Linked DNA regions of Oreochromis niloticus. Each later gene encodes a partner of the first gene's protein in a complex. Links are inferred from orthologs where the notes say so. Each region holds a gene or a part of one and is shown in the gene's direction. Other genes may lie near its edges.

Evidence for each region. Proteins that work in one complex are often made in the same cells at the same time.
Region 2: virma (region 1) and mettl14 share a complex: the UniProt entries of both Homo sapiens proteins name them as parts of the WMM complex. The link is inferred for Oreochromis niloticus from reciprocal best matches to the Homo sapiens genes VIRMA and METTL14.

Annotation. Positions count from the first base shown.
Region 1 is NC_031976.2:20,073,943-20,081,279, reverse strand, and holds the start of virma (protein virilizer homolog), read left to right. Parts: upstream 1-4,319; 5' UTR 4,320-4,394; coding exon 4,395-4,457; intron 4,458-4,919; coding exon 4,920-5,032; intron 5,033-7,337. Other genes in the region: esrp1 (epithelial splicing regulatory protein 1), read right to left, coding at 7-117, 193-247, 620-763, 1,950-2,061, 2,425-2,541, 2,660-2,818, 3,210-3,341. UniProt on the Homo sapiens protein: Associated component of the WMM complex, a complex that mediates N6-methyladenosine (m6A) methylation of RNAs, a modification that plays a role in the efficiency of mRNA splicing and RNA processing.
Region 2 is NC_031971.2:20,855,399-20,862,506, reverse strand, and holds the start of mettl14 (N(6)-adenosine-methyltransferase non-catalytic subunit METTL14), read left to right. Parts: upstream 1-4,081; 5' UTR 4,082-4,263; coding exon 4,264-4,329; intron 4,330-4,730; coding exon 4,731-4,819; intron 4,820-5,148; coding exon 5,149-5,236; intron 5,237-6,910; coding exon 6,911-6,988; intron 6,989-7,108. Other genes in the region: prss12 (neurotrypsin), read right to left, coding at 1,234-1,372, 2,437-2,770. UniProt on the Homo sapiens protein: The METTL3-METTL14 heterodimer forms a N6-methyltransferase complex that methylates adenosine residues at the N(6) position of some mRNAs and regulates the circadian clock, differentiation of embryonic stem cells and cortical neurogenesis.

The DNA of each region.
Region 1 (7,337 bases):
ACATACTTGGCGATGTTGAGACCTCTGAAGAATCGAGCGATATCCTGGTCAGAAGACTGCCACGGCAATCCTCTGGCTCGGATCACCGTGTTGTCGCACACTTTCTCCATTTTGCTGCTGCACACACAGATATTATTACAGGGGATTATCAGGGAATAAAAACAACGTGTATCTTTAATAAATGTTGCTCACCAAGTGCCGCTCTCGAACTTCTCATTAACTCTCTCTGGGTTAGAAAACGTGTGGCCTGCAACAGCAAAGCGACAGAGTCACCATGATAACACACACAGTAATCAAGCTGAGACAGTTTTTAAAAGGCAAAGCAAATGGCTGAAGTCTAAATCAGGTAAGACCTTACATTTCTTTTCATCTTAATTAATGGTTTGTTAAATGGCACGCTCAAAAGTGGCACTCCAAAATCTTGGATCATCAATTTTTTTAATGATTTTTTTTGAAAAATTAACATTTCAGTTATCCTCAAGAGAGGTTCTAATTAAGTTTCTATTTTAGTTCACAGCAGGGTCTTACTTAAAGTAACAGTTTTGGAACTCATCAGTAGTTAAATCGATTTACCTGACGTGTCGTGCTAATGTTACTCGGTAATGTACACGGTACTTACAAAATGGCTCGGATAGCAGTGCCAGGACAACGCTGGACATAAGCTGAAGCTGCTTTGTGGCTACTTCTGCAGGTAAAGGGACCGATGGATCCAGTGTGGCAGAGGGGTCCCACATGGTGGGCACATCAACAGGTATACCAAGAGCTGAGGAGGAGGTGGTTAAGGAGCCCAAGCAAGGGAGCGACAGTGTTATTAATCATGAATACGTCATGGTCCAGCAGGATTGGAGGTTTGTTTTCTTCTTTTTTTCCTCTCTCTCATTTTCTAAGTCCATTTTCAGTTTAGTTGGAGTTGTATGCTTTGAGTGGAGCCCACTCTCTCAGCCTTCTTCTACACCTGCTCTGAATCGCCTCATCAACCTGAAGTATTAAAAGGCAGGATATCCGCAAGATCGCTACACCGATCATGGTCGTAACCAGGCCCTCGGCCCTCTTTGTTGTTAAGTTCTAGTTAACCTCGCTTCTCTATTTGCCCTCTAATCTCTTGCTCCAAATTCTGCTTACGACTTATCCTCATTCCCGAGGAGCTCTGCTCAAACCACCAGGTAAACTCACCTGGCTGCCCATGCTCCACCACCGCCAGCCTTACCTCTCTCTAGATTCCTGCCTGCCTTCCTGTAACCCTCCTCCACGATTCACATCTGCAATCAAGTAAGCTTTTTTACCTGGATCACACAAACCAGGATGTTCATCTGCATTTAGAGAGGCCAGCACTAAATCCCTCTGTCCTCTCCAAAAGAAGATCCGGTTGTGTAGCAGCAGCGTCATTTGCCTGCTCCCAAATAATTTCTGTTGCTGGTTTAATAATTTTTTTAAAACTAAGTCTGATCTGTCTCCAAAAGTCTGATCTGTTTTTTCCCAAATCATGACAGAATAGACAGGTGTGTGAAAAAATGAAAAAAGTGAAAACAGAACAGCAGAAGACAAGGTTAGAGATACACATGTGTTTTTCTTCCTGTACCTGTGTGTGCGTTTGTTTGTGTGTGTGTGTGTGTGTGTGTGTGTGTGTGTGTGTGCGTTTGTGTGTGTGTGTGTGTGTGTGTATGGGGTTGGTCCTGTTGGGTAAACACACACTCTTTCACTAAGGGCTTAGTAAGGTGCTGCCACTCTTTCCTTATTTGCATTTCAAAACCTTTATCCCTACAGCCAACAGCTCAATGCACATGTGTTGTGGATTTTTGAGGGTAATGCAACGCACAGTATGAGAAAGAACCAATCAATCGGATCGAATCAATCAAGCAAAATAACAAGTGTCTCGAAATCCATGACGGCATAAACGGGTAACAGGACATGAAATGTTAATGTAAACAGGTGACGTGTTAAAAGGATACACTCTGCCATGGTGTGGACATTCAGAGCTTTGAGGTCAGGAGCGGGGAAGTGCTTCTTGAACTCCTTCCGAAGGTCAAAGAAAGAGTAGAAAGAGTCTGGGACCAGGATGTTCTAGAGAGGAATAAATTGTGTGAGTGAAAGGCCCATCAGCAGCTGCTCTTTTTATTGCTCTGATACTCATGTTTGCACAGGCCACAAGAGCATGCACTGCCTACTTCTTCTATCATTAACACACAGTTTTAAAACACTTGGGAGAAATTTCATCAGCCTCATTGTGTGCCTGTCTTTTATCTGCATGAGTGTACGGTATGCGCATGGGCGTGTGTCACCATAGTGGCTTCTCCTGTAGATCAACTTTCAGTGTTAACATTAAAGTTCAGCGGGCAGTGCGATGCTGACACAACACATCCCTCTGAGAGCGTCGAAGGCTCCCGCAGCAGCGAGCGAGCGAAACATCCGCCCCGGCTTGCTCACCTTGCTCGCTGCCTCGGGGTGAATCACTTGGCGGATGTGGAGCTGCCCGTCTGTACACAAACACACCGATGTGCCTGCGCCCGCGCTGTTCACCTCATTTGTCAGTTGCAGATGAAACTGTAAAAACATTTAGAGGTATGAACTTTAATACAGCTGCTTTAACCAGCGCTGTAACGGTAATTAGTAATCAATAAATGGCCTATTAATGGATTTCTGGCCACTTTGAAGACATTACCATGTTTAAAGCTTTATCAATGCTCGGTGCTTTGTACACACAGTCTGCTCCAGATCCATTCTCCTGTTCCACGCTCTCCTCCACCACATCCTCCTCCTCTTTTTCTTCTGTCGAGTCTGAGAGGTCAGGCTTTATGAGGAGCTCATTCACCTTGCCCAACTGGTTCAGAGAGGAAAAAAACAAGTCAGCCTTGAAACAGCAAGCCTAGCTAGAAACTCAGAGGCTTTGGAACAATATAATGAAACGAGCATGAAATATATGTGTTTGCTAAATAGATATTATCACAGTGGAATGCAGGAAAGGATCAATTTAAACGTCTTCCATGTAAGGGAGAAGGTTTTTTGTAATTAAAGAGAATAATGATTTCTGAACAGGTGTGTGTAAGCAGGAATCCCACAAAAATCCCCCTGGCACACCTTTCTTGCTGTTAATAGAGGTCTGACATTATGTATTGCAGTCCACCTGTCCACTCCTTTGAACACCACATTTCCTGCTTTGGAGTCTCGATGATTAGCAAAAAAGATCAAGCAGCCTACAAGTGAGTTGTTACCTTTTTGTTCTTTACATCCACGAGCTGCCAAACCAACTGCACGAGCTCCTTCTCGTCAGACCCCAGGAGATCTCCGCTCGCGCCAGATGTGGCGGTGAAAACCACCACCAGGTAGTCTACCTGCGCCGTCATCTGAATCTAAAACAGACCACAGAAAACTAATCTAATACTAAACGAGACTAAAAGGGACTCAAGATCAGCGGGATGTGAAACGCAAGCGGGACGCGGGAGGTAGAAACACCTTTACTCTGACACCTGAGCGCAAAGGTGGGTTCCGTAAATCCAAAGTTTCGTCGCGTGTGAGATTTTATGTGAAGCCTCCCGCAGTCACCATCGCGAAGCAATGGCTGAACGCTCACCGCTTTTGTAGTGAAGCTACCTGTGCGACCACGTGACCCCTTCACCTGGCCCCTCCCTCTTTCAGGTGGTTCAAAGTTTAGTACGTGGCAGCTCACGCAGGACAGAAAAGGTAATAAATAGTTATTAATATATAACAACAACGACAAAAATAAATAATAACATAATATTAATAATAAATGTGTTATATTTTAGTTACTATGCAGTTAATTATTAAAATAATGTAATAAATGTCTCCATAACAATTCAACAAATCGCATTCAAGTCTTAAAAAAAGGAATTGACAAGAAGAAGAAGTAAAAGAAGAAAAAGAAGCAGAAGAAGAAAAAATGCTCGTGAGAACATTTCGCATTTTATGCTGAAATACGGAAAAAAATTCCGTGAAATCCGTGTAAAAATGAAACAGTTAAAAAAAAACTTAAAAATACTAATACAGACCAAGTGAAGCTATCATGTTATTAAATCATAAAGTTATTAAATTATGACTTCGTGATATTTTGCTTCAATGAAAATATAAACTGAGTAATTGATTTAAATTTTTTTAAATAAAAAATAAAATTTCTTACAACAACAAAAGTATTCCAGAAAACGCTTGTCAACTTTTTTTCTCCTAAACAAATATAAATTTTCCAACTATATTTCTCATAACAACAACAACTATTACCACTACTACTACTACTACTATTGTTGTTGTTGTTGCTGTTGTTATTGTTGTTATTTTTAATTTTATTTATTTGCTTCAGGGTTGTTGGGGGTGGGTTGCTTACTCCGGAAGTATTCACTTTAATCCGGAAGTTTACCCCTGGCCCGGCCGATAGCACTGGAGCGATGGCGGGGGACCCTTCAACGGAGCTTCTTTTTCTGGATACGTTTAAGCATCAGAGTGCAGAGGTAGTGTTTTTTAACACTTAAACACACTCTTTTATGTTTACCCCATGACTACCTGCATTAAAAGTTAGTTTTAAGCGCATTCAGGAGTTTTGAGGAAGGATGCTTAACTTCCAGGCTAACGCTGTTAGCTAACATTAGCAGCGGTGTGATGTCATTATCCTGGTTTTAAGCGGCGATTACTGCACAGCTGTCCGATTATACAAAACGTGTGTTTTCGGTGTCAATGCAATCCTCATACATTAGCAGCTAAAAGAGTTGCCGTCTTTTGTGTCCTTGCACAGTTTGATTGATGGTTAGCCAGGTGGCTAATGCTACATCAACATTACAGTATCCCCAATATGTAGAGTGGCTAAGCATGTTTACCACGAAGCGGGAGTAAAAGTGACTTCTGCGGATGCCGGGGGCTATAAATTATGCATTTCACCATTGTTTGTATCAGTAATCATGTCTCCTTTGTTTCAGTTAACCAACATAGACGTGGTGCGCTTTCCCTGCGGGGTGCTGATCACAGAGGTGCGGGTCATTCCTCCAGGGATCAAAGCTCACAGTAACCTTCCTGACAGCAGAGCGTTTGGGTAAGATTCATCATGCCCGCATGAAAACTCATGCACACACTCATGGATCTTATTGCTACACCCAGTTAGGCTGAATGCATTCTAATCTAACAGCGTTGCCAGCATGTATATCGCACAGTTGTCTCAGTACTAATTGAGATACTGTACCTTTAAAAGGCAAACACCATACATGATTTCAGTGTGGCTACCGTCCTCATCAATGCAGTCTCCTAGTAAAGCAAAACACACTCTGAGTTTTATAGGACTCATTGGACCATTTCACCTATTAGTTGTGCAGAGAAACTATTAACTTCTGCATCAAACTGATAAGGTTTCATTTCAGAACAATGATTGCCTCAGATGAATCCATTGGTGTGTGCATGATAGTTAGAAAGTGCTTAAAGCCATAGGCTAAAGCACTTTGAGTCATGGGTTAAGTATGATTCAGACTTCTATGGGGAATCTTTGTAGAGTTTACAACACTCTACATAAATAACTGATGTCAATGCTGACATTGAAGCTTGTGCTGGTGCATTACTTGTTAATTACCTTGTGATGGTGTCCCTGTGTTTTATATGTGTTGCCAGCTGATAGAAATAAATGAAATGATGTGAATTTGTTTGGGTTCTTTTTTAAAGCTTTTTGAGGGGAGGGGGTGCATTTGTCTCTGTAGTTGCTCCACTCCTTTATACCTTCCCTCAAGTCCATTCCGATACTTTTGGTAATCTCCCTCCAGGAATTTGCTGACATTTTTGAGTCTTTATATTTCTGCTATGGTAATTTTTTCTTATACTGAAGTGACGATTGTTATTCTGTCACCGCTAAATTCAAAAACTGTGGTGCAAAAGTAGCCAGAAATTCACAGGAGGGATCAGTGGTACTGAACAGGCCAGTCACAATTGTTGTGGGTTGCGCTGACCAAACATTTAGTTACGTTTCTAGGGAGGTTATTGTCAGGTCACGGCATACGTTTCCCGCTAAAGCACAAATTTCCAGTTAGGGTAGAAAGGTGCCATTTAATTACCAGTCCATTTTCAGTGAAAGAGCTGACATGGTTGATAGCCGTGCTTGACATTTTACACACAGTGTTGTGCATTATGAATTTGGTTTCTGGGATACTGTAATGTTGATGTAAGTGTCTGAGGGAGAACATTCGGAAAGAGTTCATTAAACAGTGCTCCCATTCGGTCTGTAATTCTGATTTTAATTTTGGTATAACAAATACCTCTTTTCCACTAGCACCTGCTTGACTTGACTGGACTCACTCTATTCTGCTCTATTCGGGTTCTATTCTACTTAGTTTTAGTCTTTTGTCATTATAACTGTGTACCACCTCAATGTGGGTGGGCCCGTGATAGAAATGTGGCCCAAAAGTCGATTGATATCATTTGTACGTGCCACAAACACAACAGTGTTCAAGCTCCCTTTAGCACAAAAACATCTGAACCTCGTTGTTGGAGCACGGCGTTGGTTTGTTTGCATTTCCCTCGTTGCTGAGTTTTAAAAATGGCATGTTTGATTCTTGTGAAGGTGTCTCACTCATGACTAATCTGGTGATATCCCTCTCTGGCCAATCAATGACATGGAGTCTGTTAAGGTCAGGTTTTTAGCTGGACTCAAGTCGTTTGGAACCCTGGCCAAGTACTAAAATGTACCTGGTATTACCACTTAATGGAAAACCCTAAAACTGAGTCAAGTCGAGTAGGTGCTAGTGGATAAGAGGAAATACTCAATGGTGTCACCTTTGTCCCAATGCTAGAAATCAGAATTATATAAGAAAAGCAAACGTTGAATTGGTTTTGAGTTGCAAAAAACCTGGGGTCTTATTGCTAATGATATATTGCCTGTGGAGATGTTTTGGGGGTTGCTTTTTTTTTTTCTTTTTTTTTTTTCTCTTTTTGCTATGGATACCTGAGATAAATGTGTGTGTCTGGGGGAAATTGAGAAGCTTGTGTGAATAAAGAAGTGTGTGCATTTGATACCTGAGCTCCATTGTTGAACAGGTCCCAATTCCCCCCGAACCTGCTGAGTGATGTAATTTAGCTGAATGAACAGACTCAAGAATGCACAGTCCTCTAGCATTGGTATGCATTGTGGTAGTATTGATATTATGTTAAAGTGCATTTATTTTCTGGAAATCCATGATGTATAAGTAACGTCTGGTCCAAAGTTCTGCCATAAAAGCTACTTTTATCATAGCTACTGTGATCCATTTTTTGTTGATAGTCATAAAAGTTGAAATCAGTTTCATTTTTATACTGGGATCATTGCTGACGGTGGTGGTGGTGGCTTTTCTAATATTCTAACCCCCCCTATAAATTGCAAC
Region 2 (7,108 bases), on another chromosome or scaffold:
TTGGGATAGAGCCCAAATCCGGTCATTGGTACTTCCTGGCTTGTGTAGTTACTAGGTAACGAAAGCTCAACACTGCCCCTAGCGTCCTGGAGCACTTCCGTTGTGTTTTGGAATTTGCAAGTGTTTTGGAGTTTGCATGTGTTTTGGAGTTTGCAAGTGTTTTGAATTTTGCAAGTGTTTTGGATTTTGCAAGTGTTTTGGAGTTTGCATATGTTTTGGAGTTTGCAAGTGTTTTGGATTTTGCAAGTGTTTTGGAGTTTGCAAGTGTTTTGGATTTTGCAAGTGTTTTGGAGTTTGCATGTGTTTTGGAGTTTGCAAGTGTTTTGAAGTTTGCAAGTGTTTTGGATTTTGCAAGTGTTTTGGATTTTGCAAGTGTTTTGGAGTTTGCATGTGTTTTGGAGTTTGCATGTGCTTTGGAGTTTGTACGTGCTTTGTCTCTAGGGGCCACCGTACCATCATGCCACCCGACACTGATCCAAATCTCATTTAAGAACAAGAGTTATGAATTACAAGCAGGCAGCTTTATTAACCTGCTAGCAGTAAGCTTGAGCTGTCTGCACATGCATAATCTGTTGTTCTGGGCCAATGCCATCAGTAGTTCTTATACCCAACAGCTTTCAATAATTAAGCATCTGAAAGTCATCACCAAGCACTCCAAATGACATATGCCTGGCATTTGCCCTTTTTCCTTTCTGCTGTAGACTTTCATTGACTCCCGTGTGAATACAAACACACACGCAGGCAAGTGTTCGTATGTGCCATGTGCCAGCGCTGGTGTTAGTGACAACATGTGCAATAAGTCAAAGAGTTTCTCTGTTCTCCAGGGAGAGCAGGACACTTTCTCACCTGACTATGGACACTGCTGTTATATACAATCTGACTATAGGCTCCCTTGAGAAGCATGACTAACATCTCATAATCAAGTCCACGACACACAGCTAGAGGCAAAACAGAAACAGAGAGCGTAGGAGTGTGCGGGAAACAACGTAAATGGCACGACACTCAAGGTATTTAAGTGCCTCTGGGGAATAGAGGGCTGGAATGTAAAGAAGAGTAGGAGCAGAAAAGAGGAGCGTGCTTGAATGAAGCTCTGTTAGACCACTGTAAGCAGTTATGAATTTAACGGCAAATGGTGACAGAACCTGCACCTGTGTCTGACGACGTTTGTGAGAGGGAGGGATAAAATAAATACCGCACATTTAAGCACATGTGTACACGTTTGTGCTCTCTCACCCCTTGCCCAGCAGTCTGCAGACCACTGTAGCATCTTCCTCTCCCCAGTCGTTGCTACAAATAGACCCCCACGTTCCCCCAAGGTACACTTCGACCCGGCCGTCTAGCTTGGAGCGGCCACCTTGCAGACGGACGGAGCCTGAGATGGAAAGACGGTTGGAGAAAAGTAGATGTAAAACTATATGTGATGTGCAAAAGAAGCTTTTTGGGGAACATTGAACTTAAAGTCTGTGTGTGTGTGTGTGTGTGTGTGTGTGTGTGTGTGTGTGGTGGTGCTGGTGGGGGGGTATCTGATAAATCATCAGATATACTAACAGGTGTTTTTGTGTATTTTACCACATCAGATGCAAAAAATAAGACTAATGTAAAAAAGTGAAATATTACAGAATGCAAAAGATGTGTCTGTGACTGTTTTTAAATGTGACACCTTTTTATATTTTCTACCTGCACAGCCTTTTCCTTCAAAAATGGAGAGACATGTTCCTCCTGTACTGCCCCACAATGCAAATCATGATCTAAATATTTATAACCCATAAGATGAATAAGATTAATATAAAATGAAAAAGCTGCATTTTTCTGATTTATTTGATTTATTATTTGCAGTTATAGTCACTCGGTGTGTGAGCATGCATCAGGGTAACCTGGTTGCTTTACATTGTAAAGTAAGAAGCTTACAGCGAATGCCTCAGTCCAAGTCCATGCTAACACACACATACACACACACACCTGGCGTCCTGTGGCTCTCTTCCTTGTGCAATAGTAAACACACTGAATCTGGAGACCTCACTTACAGCCATGTAATTGTTAAAACGTTCAGTAACAGACACCAAAACTGTGATATAATACAGCTGCATATGGTTAAAAAAAACAGAAGAAGCTGAAAACACAAATGTTTTCACATGAATAATCACATTCACACTCTGGTAAACCAAAGGTATGATCACCTTTAATTATTCCATGGGTGGATGCTCTGTGACTCAGCTGCACAGCACTGTAAAAACACATCTATCTACAGCTGCTCAGCCTATACAAAAATGTACATTCCATTCATATTGGCCTTGCTGTAGCATGTCTTGAATCCTGCTCGTCTGGGGATTTCACCTTCTTCTAGGTTTAATATTTGTAGCCACGTTCAACAATTTCGAGGCTGTTAATTCCTATAAAACACAATAAAGCTGCTGCTCTGTAGGCCTGCGTGTTTACCTTGTTTACAGTCGCAGTACCCCCAGTCTACTCTGCCTCTGTGGTTCCTAAAAAAGCACCAGGGTCGGATTCGGCCGTCCGGGTTGCGACAGTGGTTGTGCTCGCCTATGCCTTTGCCCGGGTAGCGCTCCTCGAAGCCGGCCACTTCGGTCCAGTTCATGCACCGGGTACCGGACTCGGTGACGTCTATCGCTCCCCGGTAGAAGCCGTCTTTTCCACGGCTTCGGGCGCAGTCGGTGAACGGAAGGATGAATGAAGGGACGCTGCTGGCATAAAAGCAGCAGCTGATCGCAGCCAAAAGAACGGCTTTTAAAACAACAAATGGCACACTCATGTTAGGGCTATGACGGATCCTATCATCAGCTGAGGGTTTCCACGCATCCAGTCAGCCTCTCGCCCAGCCGTGGGACGAAAGTGAGAACGACGCGGATCGATGAAACCCCCTTTTCTTTTTTGCATAGGCAAGGCAGTCCTCCAACGAAAATTCAATAACATAGACTACATGATTGCTTCGACCAAACTGCAGTGTACCTATATTTAATAGGAATGGGTTTTTTTTAGATATTTTTTTTTCGCATTGTTTTATATATTTCAGTACCCTTTACTACTCATTAACCACTCGACCAAGTAGTTTAGAAATATTCTATAAAATCAAATCTAAAACCCCTCCTGACGGACAGCATTCAAATCCTCTCAAATATTAGGGCATTTGCTCTAATAACGTAAAACATGAAAATACGTGGTATTTAAATTTTAAAATGCTTCTACTTAAAAAAAATATATATATATATATATATATATATATATATATATATATATATATTTAATATTTATTAGACGGTGGTGTTCCTATTATTGCTCAAATTATACGTATTCAGTCGTTTGGAGCCGATTTGTAGGGAGTTCATTTGAGATGCGTTCTTGCAGGTGAGTTATCTGAAGCACTTGCTTTTATCATTTTGCACAATTTTCTCCTGCGCAATCTTCTCTCAAAAATGCGTACGCTTTTTCATTGCGTGTCTTTCACAACTTGAATCTTTTGTGACGGATCGTGTCTGCAGGAGTTTAACAACGTGATGTGCTTGAAAGATAACAAATGTTAAGAATGACTTCTCAGTGAACCAGTGCGTGAAAACTCAACACCAATAAAGTCAGCGACGAAATCAACGCAGTGAGGTGTGCTGGGATTGATTGTTGACATGCTAGACCGGCCTTCCTGTCAGTGGTGGATACGCCTTGAGGTAACGTGAGCGCTCTCTGCTGTGATTGGTGTTTAAATTATTAGTCGGGAGCCCTCGTGGGATCTGTCCGCTGCTGCTTGAAGAGCGAGGAGAACTAACCGTCTCTGATTGGAAGACGACTTGCGAAACGTCAGAGATACACGCCGAAAATTGTGACATCATCGCACCGCGTCCGTTCAATCACAAAGGGGTTCACTCTTTAATTAATACCGGCGTACACCGCCAATCGCTGAGACAGGCGGTAAATCACTCTTTTCTTAAGACCCAATCATTGTTCATACTATGATGGTTTAACCAATACAGTTAGGCATAACTGTATAGGAGCCAAATACACATGTGCCTTTGACTCTCATTTTGAACAAACTCCACCTGCTGATGGGCAATAAAGTGGCACGCATAGTGCCTGTGCGTACTGGTGTCGAAACCGATTGCACCTATCGACTTTTCCATTTTTTAGCGGTTATCCCCCATTAGCCGGTTGCTAGCTGTTGTTACAGATAGCAATAAGTGTTATATGAACATATTTTATTTACACCAGCCGCCAAGGGGGTTTAATACTGTGTCAGAACCCGGTACATAAGACGCAATGAACAGCCGTCTTCAAGAGATACGCGAGAGACAAAAACTTAGGCGGCAGCTGTTAGCTCAACAGGCAAGTACACAACGAGCCCTCCAGCTGCCTGTCAACTTACCTACATACCTAACGGATTTGTGTTAATAACGTGGAGCTAAGCGTGTTATGTGCAAAATGGATTTTCAGATAGTTTTCCGCCCAATACACCGATGTATGGGTGCCGATAACAAGCCTACCCCTTTAAAACATTCAGAGTGGTCGCCCTTGAGAGGAGCAGACTCGGTGTACGTCTAAATAAAAGATTTGAGCGCATTGAGGAGCCATTACAATTATCCGTAACGCTATGGAGTCACGTACCAGCAGTACAAAATACCAAGGGGTGTTTTATTAAGCACATGTTTCGTCATAGTTGGCACTGTATTGTTAACAGAACACAGGCAGGAGGGACTTTATATTTACTTGCTCTATCGTTACCACAGCTGGGAGCTGAAAGCGCAGACAGCATCGGAGCAGTCCTACACAGTAAAGACGAACTAAAAGAGATCGAGGAGACTAGAGAAACATGCAGGTAAGCTATAGTGTTGGTACTGTTCATGGTGGCTGTGGCTCAGGCGGTAGAGAGGACCATCCACCAATCACAAAGTCTGTGAATCATTCCTCATCGCCACATGTTGAAGCATCATTAAGCAACATACCCCCCAAGTTCCCCTGAACCGTTAAGAGTCCCAGTCCGTTTACTAAACTGCAGAAATCCTCAGAAGCATTTTTCTCTTTGGGTTTACTGCATGCACAGTCTTTTTGTCATCTTATGAGCTCCGTGATGTCATTTTTTTCAGTACCAAATGCTTGCTTTGGGACTAAGGAAATGTTGAAATATAGAGGTGTATTCGTTTTCAGGGCTTCATATGACAGCACAGCCCCATCTTCTAAAAGGAAAGCACAGACAGAAGGAGAGGACACAGAGGAGGATGTGGAAGAGCAAAAGGTGAGTGTAACCACATAAATGTTGAGTTTATGAGATTTGGCACTATATAAATAAAACTGAATTAAAAAGCCTGGATGTGTCAGGAGGAGTTAAGTATTGTGACATTGTGCCATAGACAGCAATAACATATGCTTAAAGTGGTGGAGCTTATGGCAAAGCTATGTTCAAAAGTGTCTTTATCTGACAGTACAGTTAAAATGGTCACTGACATCAGTAGTGACGACATAAAGGCTCTTATTCTACAAGCATCAATACAGGAGTGCCTTGAAATTTGGCGTGACTTGTACACAAAGGCTTGTAAAGGTCTGGATTAGAGGACAAAACTAATCTGCTAATCTCTTGTCTGGTAAATGCTGTCTTTGAGCCAGAGTTTGACTTTGCTCTTTTGCATGACTATAATGACGTAAATACAAATGACTTATGAAAAAGGTGGAAGTATTAGATCATTTTTCCATTTAATACTTTAAAGTATTTTTAACACTACAACCCATTAAAGGTTTTAACAGATTATATCTTAAGGTAATGAATTGTATGGTGAAGTATAGATTTACAATCGTAATTTCAAATAAGTTGGCATGCTGTGTGTGGTAATAAATTGAATGAATAGAACAGAATAAAGTACAGAAAACATGTAAAATATTGAAACATTTTGCTATTTTATTAAAACTAAATGGTTAGCCCAGAGATGGATTGGCAAAATATGATAGCTGGGATAGGCTCCAGCCCCCTGTGACCTGCAACCCTAATAAGGATTATGGAAGGGAATGCATGGATGGATGCATTTAAAAAAAAATGGCCTTATGGAATTTATTGGCAGCAACACATTTCAAATCTCACTGTTGGATGCTGGTGATGTTACATGGTGCTAGACTGCATGGGCTCCAAACACTTCCAGTCTGTGAACAGAGCTTACCTTGGACTGTAGAGCAGTTGAGACGTGTTCTCTGGATTGACAAATCATGTTTTTCCATCCGGCACTCCCCTGGATGGGTCTGAGTTTGGAAGTTATGTAGAGTCCAGGTGCTGAACTGGTCTGCTTGCAGTCCAGACCTTTAACCAATTTAAAATATCTCGAACATCATAAAATGAGACGTGCAACAAGGAAGACCCAGGAGTGCTGAGCTGCTAAAAGGCTATATCAGATAAGCCTAGCAGCTGGTCTCCCAGACATTTACAGACTCTTGTTAAAAGAAGACGGGGTTCTACACAGTCCGTAAACATGGCCCTGTTCCAGCGTTTTGGGGAAGTGTTATTGCCATCAAATTCATGATGACCTATTGTTTTTCTTAAAATGGTACATTGTCTCAGTTTCTGCAGTGAATAAAACATGGGTTATGAGATCCGCAAATCATTGTATTCTGGTTTTATTTACATTTCCCACAATGTCTCAACTTTTTTGGAATTAGTGTTGTATTTTAATATAGTGCAAAATGCATTGATTCAGATGTGTTAGAACAAATGTATGGAAATGTGGACAGATTTAATAGGCTGACAATGTCCCATCTCCCTCTTTGATTTCCATCTAACTGATTTAATGTTTTTTGTACATTTGTGTCTTTGTCTTACTCTCCATATTAAACAGTGGTGGAGTTTATTATAGTTAGCAATTCTCTTGTTTTATTATGCAATTACATTCGGCTGTATTCGTTTGCTAACCACATGTTTGTGTTTTAGGATGAGTTGGAAGTGCAGCAACCAGATGAAACCAACCCATACGAAGAGGTGTACAAGGACTCAAGTACTTTTCTTAAGGTTGGGAAACTCTTTCTTTGCATTCACAGTCTCATTTATGTGGACTTGCATAACCTGTTTCCACACAAAGTATCCAGCAACTTTAAGACAAAAAAATGTTTTTGAATGGACGTCTAACAT